Linked DNA regions of Neurospora crassa OR74A. The protein of the gene in region 1 purifies or fractionates together with the protein of each later gene. This does not show direct contact. Links are inferred from orthologs where the notes say so. Each region holds a gene or a part of one and is shown on either strand. Other genes may lie near its edges. The genes, in order: rpt-2, NCU07913 and rpn-12.

Region 1 (3,750 bases):
AAGGAGATTCCGAAAGGGGGTGTGCCTTGGCCGGAACGAGGGCGAGATACGAAGGATGGTAAAAAGGTTTGGTCGGAGGGGGTAATGGGCTTGGTGGAGGCTTTGAGTGCGGCTGATCAGCAGGGGAGGAGAATATGTGATGGGGACCATGATGGTTCAAGCAGGAGAGTAAAGGGTGGTTAAATGTATAGAGATAGAGAGAAGGATACACGCAGAAGGATAGATTAGATGCCGCCTGGTGACAATGGGAGAGATAGCATACGTAGGAGGTGCAGCGTCAAGCTTACATGAGTAGGATGAGAGGCAGTGGTGGGCTTCACGTTTTGCGTAGATACAACTGACATGAAGCTGGACTTCACAATGAATGTATCAACGAACCAACAATTTAAGGCGTGGAAAACATACCCTTACAGGAGCCAACCGTAAAGTTTCTTCTTTCTCCATGATAAAACGCTACGGTATCCCTTCATCTTCACTCAAACTAAGGTACGCTTAGTGATGGCTGGATATCGACATCACAAGGCTGAATTGTCAAATCCATTCCCAGTCGCAATCCGCCCAAATCTGAAAAGTCTTGCAAATTAGGCCAGATAATATGCGGTTATGTTACAAGTACAAGCCCTCGGGCTCGCCTTCCTGCTTGGTGCGCAGAACTCTTTCACGAGCAGCTCTGAAGTCTGCCATCTGCACCCGCATTCTGCGCTCACGGAGGGCCATGAGACCGGCCTCAGAGCAGATGGCCTTGATGTCGGCACCTGAGAGATCGTCCTTCTGGGCGATGAACTCTTCCAGGTCAACATCCTCGTTAAGTGACATCTTGCTGGTGTGGAGCGTGAAGATCTTGCGCTTGGTGTTCTGGTCGGGATTCTCGAAGAGAATCTTGCGGTCGATACGGCCAGGACGGATTAAAGCAGGGTCAAGCGACTCGATCTTGTTGGTGGCCATGATGACCTTGACGTCTCCACGGTCGTCGAAACCATCCAGCTGGTTCAGCAGCTCCAACATGGTTCTCTGGATTTCACGTTCGCCGCCCGATGTCGAGTCGTAACGCTTGGTACCGATGGCATCGATTTCGTCGATGAACACGATGGAAGGGGCATTCTCGGCGGCAACCTGAGGAACATGTTAGAGTATATATTTGACAGTGTAGCTTGAAACACTTTTACATACCTGGAAAAGCTGGCGGACCAGTCGAGGACCATCACCAAGATACTTTTGGATAAGCTCGCTACCAACGATGCGCAAGAACGTTGCCGAAGTTTGGTTTGCCACAGCCTTGGCAAGGAGGGTCTTACCGGTACCGGGAGCACCGTAAAGAATGACACCCTTGGGTGGCTTGATACCCATTTCTTCGTAGAGCTCCGGATGCAGCAATGGAAGCTCAACTGATTCACGAACTTCCTGGATCTGCTGTTCCAAGCCACCAATATCCGCGTACGACTCCGTGGGCGCCTTGTCAAGCTTCATGACGCTGACGGCCGGATCCGTGTCGTCGGTGAGCACGCCAACAATGCTGACACTCTTGTGATGTAGCAGGACGCTGGCGCCGGGCTCCAGAAGGTCTTTGTCGACAAAGCTCATGATGCTAACGTAGTACTCGGGCCCCGATGTGCTGGAAACGATGGCGTGGTCGTCGTCGATCAACTCCTCGAGAACACCGACACCCATGGGGCTGCCACGCATATCATCGACACGGGAGCGCTCGTCAGCCATACGGTCGGAAGACTCGAGCTCGGACGCAGGAGCATTGCTGTCCTTGGCGGTCTTCGCCTTGCGTAGACGTTCTTGATTTTCGACATATTCTTCCTCGAGCAGTAGATGATCGTGGATTCGTTGCATTCGTAGGAGTCGGAGTTTGCATCGGCTTGTCGGATACACTGAGGGGAGCTTGGCGGCAGCGCTGGCACCGCCTTGTCTCTTCTTCTTGCGACCGATGCGGGTGGTAGGCTTCGGCGGCGGCTCGTACTTGGGCTTATCTTTCTGTTTTGGTGGCGATGGTGGTTAGCGATGTCCATGATGTCAGCGCCTGAGTCTCACAGGACAGCAAGCATGCCGCGCACAACAGAAACCTTGACGCAACTGAAGCCATCCTACCTTATCTTTCTTGGACTTTGAAGGGTCCTGGCCTCCGCCCATGCCAGACTGATTTTGACCCTGCGCAGCTTGTCAGTATGCGATGCGTTGCAAGCTTGAGCTCAGCTCCGTATTGCGGCAACTGACCATGTTGACGGTCCGCCTTTCGCGATTCTTGAAAGTGTGGTGGAAGACTCAAAGGGGTGCTGAGAATTATATGATGGGGTCGCAAAAGTGCCGCACGATCTGAACTCGTTGATCTCAGCGGCAGTGATGGAAACGATTAAGTTGTGCTGGTGTTCGTTGTTGGCGGATGCCCGTTTGAGGTTCAGTTGCGACGGGATGGCGAGCTCCAGTTCAGGCCCCCAGTGAACGCGACACACCTCATCCGTCTGTCGTCCAGTCGTACACCTGACGCACAGACCATCAAGACTACTAAGCTGCCGGGGGCAATAGCACCTTGCATGTCGTTTGAGCGCTCCTAGCACTTGCTGTGCGTTTGCATTCGATCTGTCTACTGACCATACCTGGACAAGCTGCACAGCTTTAAGTTTGTACTTGTACCGTATGACGGACTGTTTTCCCATACATACAGCGCATGGCCACGACATTGGCAAGGGAGGGGACCATCCCAGGGACGAGTCCAGCCAGAGCCTCCTGCTTCCATCCTATCCCGTCGCAACTTTGTGTACATTGGAGGGCGACAGTGGTCATTCGTCCTCAACCTTGCCCGTACTATACTAAAAAATAAAGCAAGGTGTGGCTGAGGCGATCAAAACACTAGGAAGAACACCACGCTCGCCAATTAGGTTATGTGAGCATTTGACTCTTGGCACTCTTGGGTACCTCTACGGACGCTGCTCCCCACCTGACTCTTGAAGTTGCCTTTTTGCTTTCCTTTCCCTCGACAGGAAGTGACGACGACCATCTCACCTTGTCAGCGAATGCTCTTTCAGCCTTGCATTCACAAATAACCTACGGTACCTAAGCAGGCCCGGTTCGCCAATCCTCGATCAGTTGCGGAAGAAAACCTAAAACGTCCTGTCGTTCGTTCCACTGCCAGCTCCTCCATCACTGAAGAAACCCTCCCGTCTCACCTTGCAACATCATTTCACGGGCCTCCTTGACCCCTCCACAAGGTTAATCTTATCAGTACTCCGTTGTTATACTTCACTTATTTCGCTGAACACCACTTCCTACCATCTTATTTGCGTCCAACAGCAAACCATATACTGTACCCACTCCCATTCCCATTTGGGCGCAATACACTTCCCTTCCTCTGCACCAACACCCCATCACTTGACCATGGCGACTACTCGTGAGCGCCGCGTTGCGAAGGAATTGCAGGATATATGGAATGACCGCGAGACCTCGGGCGTCATGGCCGAACCTCTCGACTCGAGCAATCTGTCGCACCTCAAGGGCTCCTTCAGCGGCCCTCCAGACTCGCCCTATGCTGGGGGTACATACGAGGTCGACATTCAGATTCCGGATAAGTACCCGTTCAAGCCGCCCTCGATGTATCTTATTACCAAGATCTGGCACCCCAACGTCAGCAGTGTCACTGTACGTTTCTCTCGTTTTTGTCCCCTTGTTTTATGATGGATGTTAGGAAGTAGGTGGAGTTTGGAGAGCTCAACTAACCCTCCGACGTCTTTACAGGGCGCCATCTGCCTC
Region 2 (3,750 bases), on another chromosome or scaffold:
GCGATTTGTTCGTTCAGCGCAAGCGGGCGTACCGTGAGCGTGCAGACCTGGACGTGAGGGAACCAGATCGGAAAGTGGGGTTTTATCTAGTTGATCATCGGGGAAGGACTCCAATGGAGGGAGGTCGTCGATGTCTCGAGGTACGGTATGCCTGCCGATATCAAGCAAGTCCCGATCATTGATTCTCTTGACTCGACGAACGGGTGGAGCTTTTTCAATGAGAAGGAGAAATGCGAGTATGATCGGATTAGGTTCGTATGTACCGTAGGTTTGTTGTCAGGTTTTCGTTCTTGGGCTGAGCTGCGGCTTGTTTCTGAAAGGGCTTCGTGGTCAGCAGCGGGGCTGGTCTTTTAAGTATTCGCCCAAGTACGTGAAGGAACTAGTGTAGTAGCATTGCCCCAGAGAAAAGAAAAAAGAGGAAAAGGAAAAAAAGGAACGAGGGGAAAGAGGCGACGAGGCGTCCAAGAGACAGTGCCTTTTCCAAGAGAGACAATCGAAAAAGGGTCCCCGATGCCGTCCGCGGTTTTCACACCTTGTTCCATTCCAAGGTTGCTGCCCTGGAACTTGGGCAAACTGTGGCATAAACTGTCATAAGTCCTTCATTTGATACTGTGTTGTGTCAGTATCCATCCCAAGGTATACTGGAGATAATATCCAATGCAGCCGGCACGTCTAAGCCGCGCTCTTCTGCACACCGTACGGTACAATCTACATCTCAATCGTAGCCCTCTGGGTCTTGCATCATCCAAGAATATGGTCTGGGTTCTAAAGCCGGGTTCCAGCCATGACGGAATGGCCGATTCCCCCCAGATCTCCATATAGTCTCCGGGGTACCTATCATCCATTTCTCTCAACTCGCGAATGGCCAGGGCAAAGGCCAATCGAGTCTCAATGGGACTTCTAGGTCAGATTCGATATAAGCACTGCAGATATCGGCATCCCATGTCGTGTAACCACTTGCTAGAGGTGACATTGGAGTCCCGAACTGGTTCACCGCAATGGCTCAGTTGAGCAGATATGTATGAGGTTCAGTTTGCAACAAGAGGGGAAAAGAGAAAAGAACAAAGGTCTCGGAAGATTGGTTTGATGCCGCACCATAGAGCTACCGGGACAAAGTGTTTGCAACTGAACCAGCAGGAAGTTCTTCTTGTTAGTTGTTTGCCTCTATACCCAAGATTTCCTGGTGGGCTGATTCGCGCTCTACGTGTTGAACTAGAAATCTTAACTGCAGGCAGTATACTGTAGTATGCAAGAAATGGGAAGCCATCTGCAACTGTCAGTGATGGTTCGGACGAACTGCAATGCCTGAACAGTGCAGCGTTGATCTTCCAATATGTACAGACCAGACATCAATGACGATGCCAAACAGAAAGACACACCAAGAGCACAATCACAGCTCAGCGGCGGGGGACATACCAAAGTGGGTCCCAGAGCTTTTTGCCAAGATCTGCGACATGGCCCGTGCTCTTTCTTGCCGCCCCTGGCTCGGCCAGGCCAAGTGCAGTGGGCGGAGGAAGCCGAATTGGCACGTCGTCTCGCTGCCGCCTTGGGTTGGGGGCCCGTCACTCGGCAGCTGCAGTTGACGGAACAAACGACAAGATCACGAGCTGTCACGACTGACGGACCAAAAGCTACTACCTAGAGCTATCAACCACCGCAGCGCCCAACATCTTGCCGCCGCCAAACCGACGATTTCGATTCTCCTCCGTGCGCATAATACCAAACAACAAAACCAAGCGCAATCATCATCACCACGACGTGATTAAAAGTACGCCCGACGAGTTTGCCCGCCTTTCGAACAATTCGTCGATACAATCCATCCGTCTAGCGTCATCAGCTTCAGTCCAGCTGGTCCCATCCCTCTATACCTACACACACAAATCACAACATTCACAATGGCCTCAACACAACCCAAGAACGACGCCAAGTCGACCGAGCCCAAGCCCGAGCAGCCCGTTACCGAGAAGAAGACGGCCGTGTTGGAGGAGGACGACGAGTTTGAGGACTTCCCCGTCGATGGTTAGTCTGCCCGCCATGGCTAAGAAGCACCTTTTGCTGGACGCCGCATCGCATTTCAAACACCACCGCATCACGACCTGCTTCCATATATCATATCATTCAACAACCTCTCTGCCTATACCCTTCATCATTGGCACGGACACTACATACCAAACTTCCTTCAACTTGCGCAACTGCGGAGGCTAGCTCCCCCAGCTGTTGTACCGCACATGTAACTAACAAAATAACCAAAATAGACTGGGAAGCCGAAGACACAGAAGCCGCCAAGGGCAACAACGAGGCCAAGCACCTATGGGAGGAGTCCTGGGACGACGACGACACGAGCGACGACTTTTCCGCCCAGCTAAAGTACGTTTTTTTTGTTTTTTTTTTCCTTTTCTTTTCGTACTCCTTCCTTCCTTCTTCCTTCCCTTTTTACCTGCGTCCCTCCCTCCCTTTCCCTCTCCCTCCTCCTCCTACTCCTTTACTATGAACTTCCACTTCACGTAATTAGCTAGCTTTGCGCTAGGAGTTGGGATTGAAAATCCTAGACCCGGGTTGGCGCGTATTGCGCTGGGCCAGTCAGTCAGGCGTTAAAATGAATCACACCATTTTGGAACTTTATGGAGGAAACAAAAAGCAAAGCCGTATAAAGCGACAGTTGCTGACTTGTCTTTTTCAAACCATTAGGGAGGAGCTCAAGAAGGTTGAGGCTGCCAAGAAGCGGTAATCGGAGGACTTTCGAAGCTTGTACAAAGTATGATATGAGGGGAGGACAGGCGCATCAATACAATGTTGACCAAAGTTTCAGTCCGGGATCTTGCGGTGACATTGCTGTGCGAGGCTTCGATATGCGAGTGAAAGGTGAAGGAGACCCTCCGACTATAAAGAGACAATATCCGGAGACGTACCGACTTGTGTAGTCATTGACACAAGTCATTGGGTATCAACACGGGATTGAGATGATCTGCATAGACTTCGTCTCGAACTTGGTGCATAAACTCGAATAATATCTTGGGATGAACCAGATTCGTCAAGCTTATCCGCACATCACACTTCGAATCATAAAAACTGGACTTTAACTGTTTTGTTCTATTTATCGACTTTGGACTGAGTGCCTATCATAGACTGGCCCTGCTAATCCTTCCAAGGACCCTTTATCATCATATGTTTTTTTGATCCATCAGTCATGATCTCTCATTCAATATCCGAGAGGTTTCATAACATCATTATATCTCCTTCCCAACTCCTTTGAAAGCCAAGGACAAACTTACTGACGCTCGCTAAGAGCAACAACACCAGGGAGAGCCTTGCCCTCAAGGAGCTCAAGAGAAGCACCACCGCCAGTGGAGACGTGGCTGAGCTTGTCCTCAACGCCGTACTTGGCAGCGACGGTAGCGGTGTCACCACCGCCAATGATGACGGTGCGGCCTTCCTCGGCAGCCTTGACGCAAGCGTCGAGGGTGGCCTTGGTGCCCTTGGCGAACTTGTCGAACTCGAAGACACCGGCGGGGCCGTTCCAGAGGATGGTCTGGGACTCGTTGATGGCCTGGGTGAAGAGCTTGACCGACTCCTCGCCGCAGTCGAGACCCATCCAGCCGTCGGGAATGCCGTCCTTGTCTGTGGCGTAGCCAGTGTTGGCGTCCTTGTCGAACTTGTCGGCAATGGTGAAGTCGACGGGGAGCACGAGCTTGACGTTGTTCTTCTCGGCCTTCTTGACAAGGTCAGGGACAATCTTGGCGCCGGCCTCAT
Region 3 (3,750 bases), on another chromosome or scaffold:
GACACTGACATATTTGAAAATAACAGGCCAAGAGAACCAAGGCGCAATGCGAGCGCAACCCCCATGACGCCGTGGAGATCGAGTTCGATCAGTTTGCCGAGTTTGAGATCTGCGCTGCCAGCTTCACGCCCATCTACAGCGGTACCCCTTACGAGGAGTGCGCATTTGACGGAGCCAAGTACCACACCAAGTACAAGGGCACGGTGTGCACAGTCTGCGAGGTTTGCGAGGTCGGAAAGCACGGTAGTGGCCTGAAGCTGTTTGCTTAAAAGGGGTGGGTTTGTATGCGGTTGGCGCTACACGATGATGGGGGTTTTGATGACAAGTAAAGTAGTAGTTAAAGTACAGTCAAAGTAGGTATAATGATCGCGTTTCTTGCTTTCTTCTGCAGGAAGAACAGGGGAGAAGAGAAAAGGAAAGACAAAACCATTTTGGACGCGCCTGTTGCATAACAATTACTGCCTGCTACCAAGTAAGTTCGTGTGCTATAATCCGAACAGAAAGTCGTGGTCGCATGAATTGTCAGTTAGATAATACCATGCCAGACGCAAGCCGTAATATTATGTATCATGTTTTTGTATACATATAGGCGACACATGGAACACAATGTTAAGTAGTGTATCTGTACGTGGCCTCTGTTCTGCCTATGTAGCTAGATCTCTAAGGACCATCGTTTAAGAACGCTTGCATAAACCAACCCAACCCAACCCATACCACACCGGCCAGCCACTTTGTTGTTTTTCTACTGTTTAGACGATCGTCTCCAACTCCCTAGCATAGCCCAGCGTATTCTCAATGATCAACCGGCTGAAGGGCTTCTCCTGCTCGGCACCGGCCTCCTCCGTCGTCGGCTCAGCAGACGGGAAGTAGATGTGGCCGTCCTTGAGTACCCAGCCGCGGGAGCGGGCGAACTCGACCACTTCGCCCTCGGACTCGAGGAAGAGGAGCGACTTGGTGGAGGAGATGGGAAGCGAGGGGTAGGCGCGCTCGGAGGAGGAGGCGATTTCGGAGCGGATTTGGAAAGTGAGGATCTGTTGACAGTAAGATGCGGTGGTTAGTGATTGATGTGGTACAGATAGTTAATCGTGATATCGTTGCTTGGGGGAGAGCGAGAGAGAAGGACCTAGGGGGAAAAGGTAGAGAAAGCAAGACGCAATAAAAGAAAACCCACGAACCTCGGAAAAAACTCCATACTCCTCACAAGGAACCTCGCCCTTCTTCATTGCCTTCCACACACGATCATAGCTCCCCTCCATCAGCCACCTCTCCAGCTTGATGGGATACCCGAGATATCTATCCGCCTCCAGCTCGCGCGTCGCGCCACCCAGCCTCGTGCTCAGCGCCTCCAGCTCGCTATGGAACTCGGCATACTGTCCCTGCGTCAACAGCAGCAGCAGATACAAGCCCGTGACCTTGTTCTTCTCCTCCCTGTTTGCGTCCGCACCGGCAATCCTGCCACCAGCGGCACCGGTACCGACAGTACTCTCGAGCTCGTAGAACCCTTGGAGCTGGCTGACGTAGCGCAAAAAGGCGTCGGGGTTCTTGGCGCGGATCGAGGCCAGGGCACCTTGCTCGTAGACTTGGCGGGCGAGAGAGAAGAGGGAGGGGTTGGAAGCGGAGCCGGGCGCGGTCGGGGTCAGCGCGTTGAGTTGGAGGAGCAAGAGCTTGGCTTTGGAGAGGAGGGCGGAGGAGTCGGTGTAGGAGAGGGAGGAGGCGGAGGTCTGGAGTTGGGTGAGGATTTGGGTGAGTTGTCGTTCTGCCATGTTGGGCGGTTGTGGTGTCTGGTTGTGGTGTTGTGGTGGTGATAATCTGGGGTTGCCGCACGTCGAGGTTCGTTTGTTGTTTTAGCTTCTAGGTGGTTGTTGAAGCTATCGCGGGCGGCAAGTGGATGTGATGGTTGGGTAAATGCGTCGCGTATGTGTATTCTGATTCCGAGTGGATATTGTTGTGGTACTAAATAGACCGGCGATGGTTTATGGCTTGTCGACGGGATTTTGTTGATAGTTATGGCTTGTCATGGGAAACGAGGCAGTGGATGTAGGTACGTAGTTTGGTGTCGAGGCTGAAGGTTGGATGCTCGCTGTCTTGGGGGCGTCACGTTCCCACCGCCAAACGCCAGACCCTCGTATCCACCGCCAAACGCCAGACCCTCTTTGCACCCCCATCATCTGGCTAGCTGTCGAGTCGCTGGCGAGCCTGGTAGATAGTCAAAATCAATTAATTCTATTAACAACGAAGCTATTTATACTTGTGCGCCCGTAATTACCTGCTGTAATTTATTATATTTTGTACTACTACTAAGAAGACCGACCCCCGGGTTGCCGCTACCGCCGCCGCCGTCGTAGCGTTCGGTAGGAAGTATTATATTAGTTAGGCGGTGGATATTGACCGGGATTGTAAAGCTGTTAACGATTTATAACTTCTATTATCCTCTCTTATAAGGAAGAACCCTCTATAGTAATGTAAAAAGAGTTATAAAGTAGCGGACTTTAAGTCCGAGCTGGAGGAAGTAAGGCTTCCTACTGTTAATTCGAAGGGTAAAAGTAAGGCTATTACCCCCTCCGTCGAACCTATTCCTACTCTAAAGAAGGTTATTCTTAAGATTGTAAAGAAGGTTGCCCTTGTTGTTCCTACTTCTAAGCTAACTTCTAAGGCTGCTCTTATCCTAAAGAAGCTGCCTTCTAAGAAGAATATTGTTGCGCCTAAGCTGTTTAGCTCCTGTAAGATTATATTAAAGACCCTAACGCCGACTTCGAAATATAGTCTAAGGATTATTCTATTTAAGTTTAAGCGCCCTCCCTTAAAGACGATTAAAATTTTTAATATTTATTTTAGGATTAGTTTGGATGATGGATAAGGGTAGGAGGATGAGTAAGAGTAAGAGTTTGTAGAGGATAATAATAAGGAGGATGAGTAAGAATAAGAATTTATAGAGGATAATAATAAGGAAGATAAAGAGGAGGATAAAGAGGAGGATAAGGAGGAGGATAAAAAGGAGGGGGATAATATAGGGGATTTATTTATAAATATAATAATTAATATAATTAAAAATAATAAGGATAAAGAGATACGAATATCTTCCGTTTACCGGCCTACATTAGTATAGAAGGTAAAGCGGTTATTCTACTAAGATTGTCTATTTTTATTTTTATTGCTTATTAATTCGTTTATTAAAGTGTCTAATATTCTATTTCGGGCAACCCCTATAGTCCCTTTTATTATAAAATTATTTTTAGTAACAGTACCCGCTATTACGAAGCTACTTCGGGTAGTAATAGTAATTGTAAGAAAATCTTAAATAATTTATATAATCTCCGCTATTATTGAGCCCCCTCCTTAAAAAATATTTGCCGGTCCTAATTTAAATTCGTCCTTAAATTATTCTTATAATAACTTTATTCTTATTAATATTATAATAATCGCGAGCGTTATATATATTATTAGATTACTTAAAATTAAGCCGCTTCTATTTGCGAATTGAATTACTATAATTAATATTAATATTATATAGAATAAGTATAATTATATTAGTTTAAATTTAACCTTTAAATTCGATATTGCTCTAAATTCGGTTTAAATTAGATTCCGGGAGGCTATTTACAACGATTATTTAGTAGCGTAGATCCTTAATAAGGTTATATTCTATATAGTTGAATATACGGTTATATTCGCCGATTAGAAGATGAGTATATTTAAATAGATATTCTATTTGTATTGAATTAATATATTCGAAGACCCGAAGTATTTGTA

The links.
Region 2: the proteins of rpt-2 (region 1) and NCU07913 purify together in Saccharomyces cerevisiae (affinity purification with mass spectrometry; 4 studies listed by BioGRID). This does not show direct contact. The link is inferred for Neurospora crassa OR74A from reciprocal best matches to the Saccharomyces cerevisiae genes RPT2 and SEM1.
Region 3: the proteins of rpt-2 (region 1) and rpn-12 purify together in Saccharomyces cerevisiae (affinity purification with mass spectrometry; 4 studies listed by BioGRID). This does not show direct contact. The link is inferred for Neurospora crassa OR74A from reciprocal best matches to the Saccharomyces cerevisiae genes RPT2 and RPN12.

What each region holds. Positions count from the first base shown.
Region 1 is NC_026505.1:3,289,725-3,293,474, forward strand, and holds rpt-2 (26S protease regulatory subunit 4), read right to left. Parts: upstream 2,433-3,750; 5' UTR 2,224-2,432; coding exon 2,221-2,223; intron 2,155-2,220; coding exon 2,095-2,154; intron 1,981-2,094; coding exon 1,171-1,980; intron 1,114-1,170; coding exon 607-1,113; 3' UTR 184-606; downstream 1-183. Other genes in the region: NCU01223 (hypothetical protein), read left to right, coding at 1-183; NCU01225 (ubiquitin conjugating enzyme), read left to right, coding at 3,379-3,639, 3,736-3,750. UniProt on the Saccharomyces cerevisiae protein: The 26S proteasome is involved in the ATP-dependent degradation of ubiquitinated proteins. The regulatory (or ATPase) complex confers ATP dependency and substrate specificity to the 26S complex. Has ATPase activity.
Region 2 is NC_026504.1:1,371,793-1,375,542, reverse strand, and holds NCU07913 (hypothetical protein), read left to right. Parts: upstream 1-1,536; 5' UTR 1,537-1,895; coding exon 1,896-2,019; intron 2,020-2,255; coding exon 2,256-2,367; intron 2,368-2,688; coding exon 2,689-2,728; 3' UTR 2,729-3,172; downstream 3,173-3,750. Other genes in the region: NCU07912 (hypothetical protein), read left to right, coding at 1-33, 91-354; pgk (phosphoglycerate kinase), read right to left, coding at 3,269-3,750. UniProt on the Saccharomyces cerevisiae protein: Versatile protein that might stabilize multiple protein complexes involved in diverse pathways. Subunit of the 26S proteasome which plays a role in ubiquitin-dependent proteolysis.
Region 3 is NC_026507.1:2,809,399-2,813,148, reverse strand, and holds rpn-12 (26S proteasome non-ATPase regulatory subunit 8), read right to left. Parts: upstream 2,119-3,750; 5' UTR 1,764-2,118; coding exon 1,176-1,763; intron 1,032-1,175; coding exon 750-1,031; 3' UTR 435-749; downstream 1-434. Other genes in the region: NCU10066 (coatomer alpha subunit), read left to right, coding at 27-269. UniProt on the Saccharomyces cerevisiae protein: Acts as a regulatory subunit of the 26S proteasome which is involved in the ATP-dependent degradation of ubiquitinated proteins. Necessary for activation of the CDC28 kinase.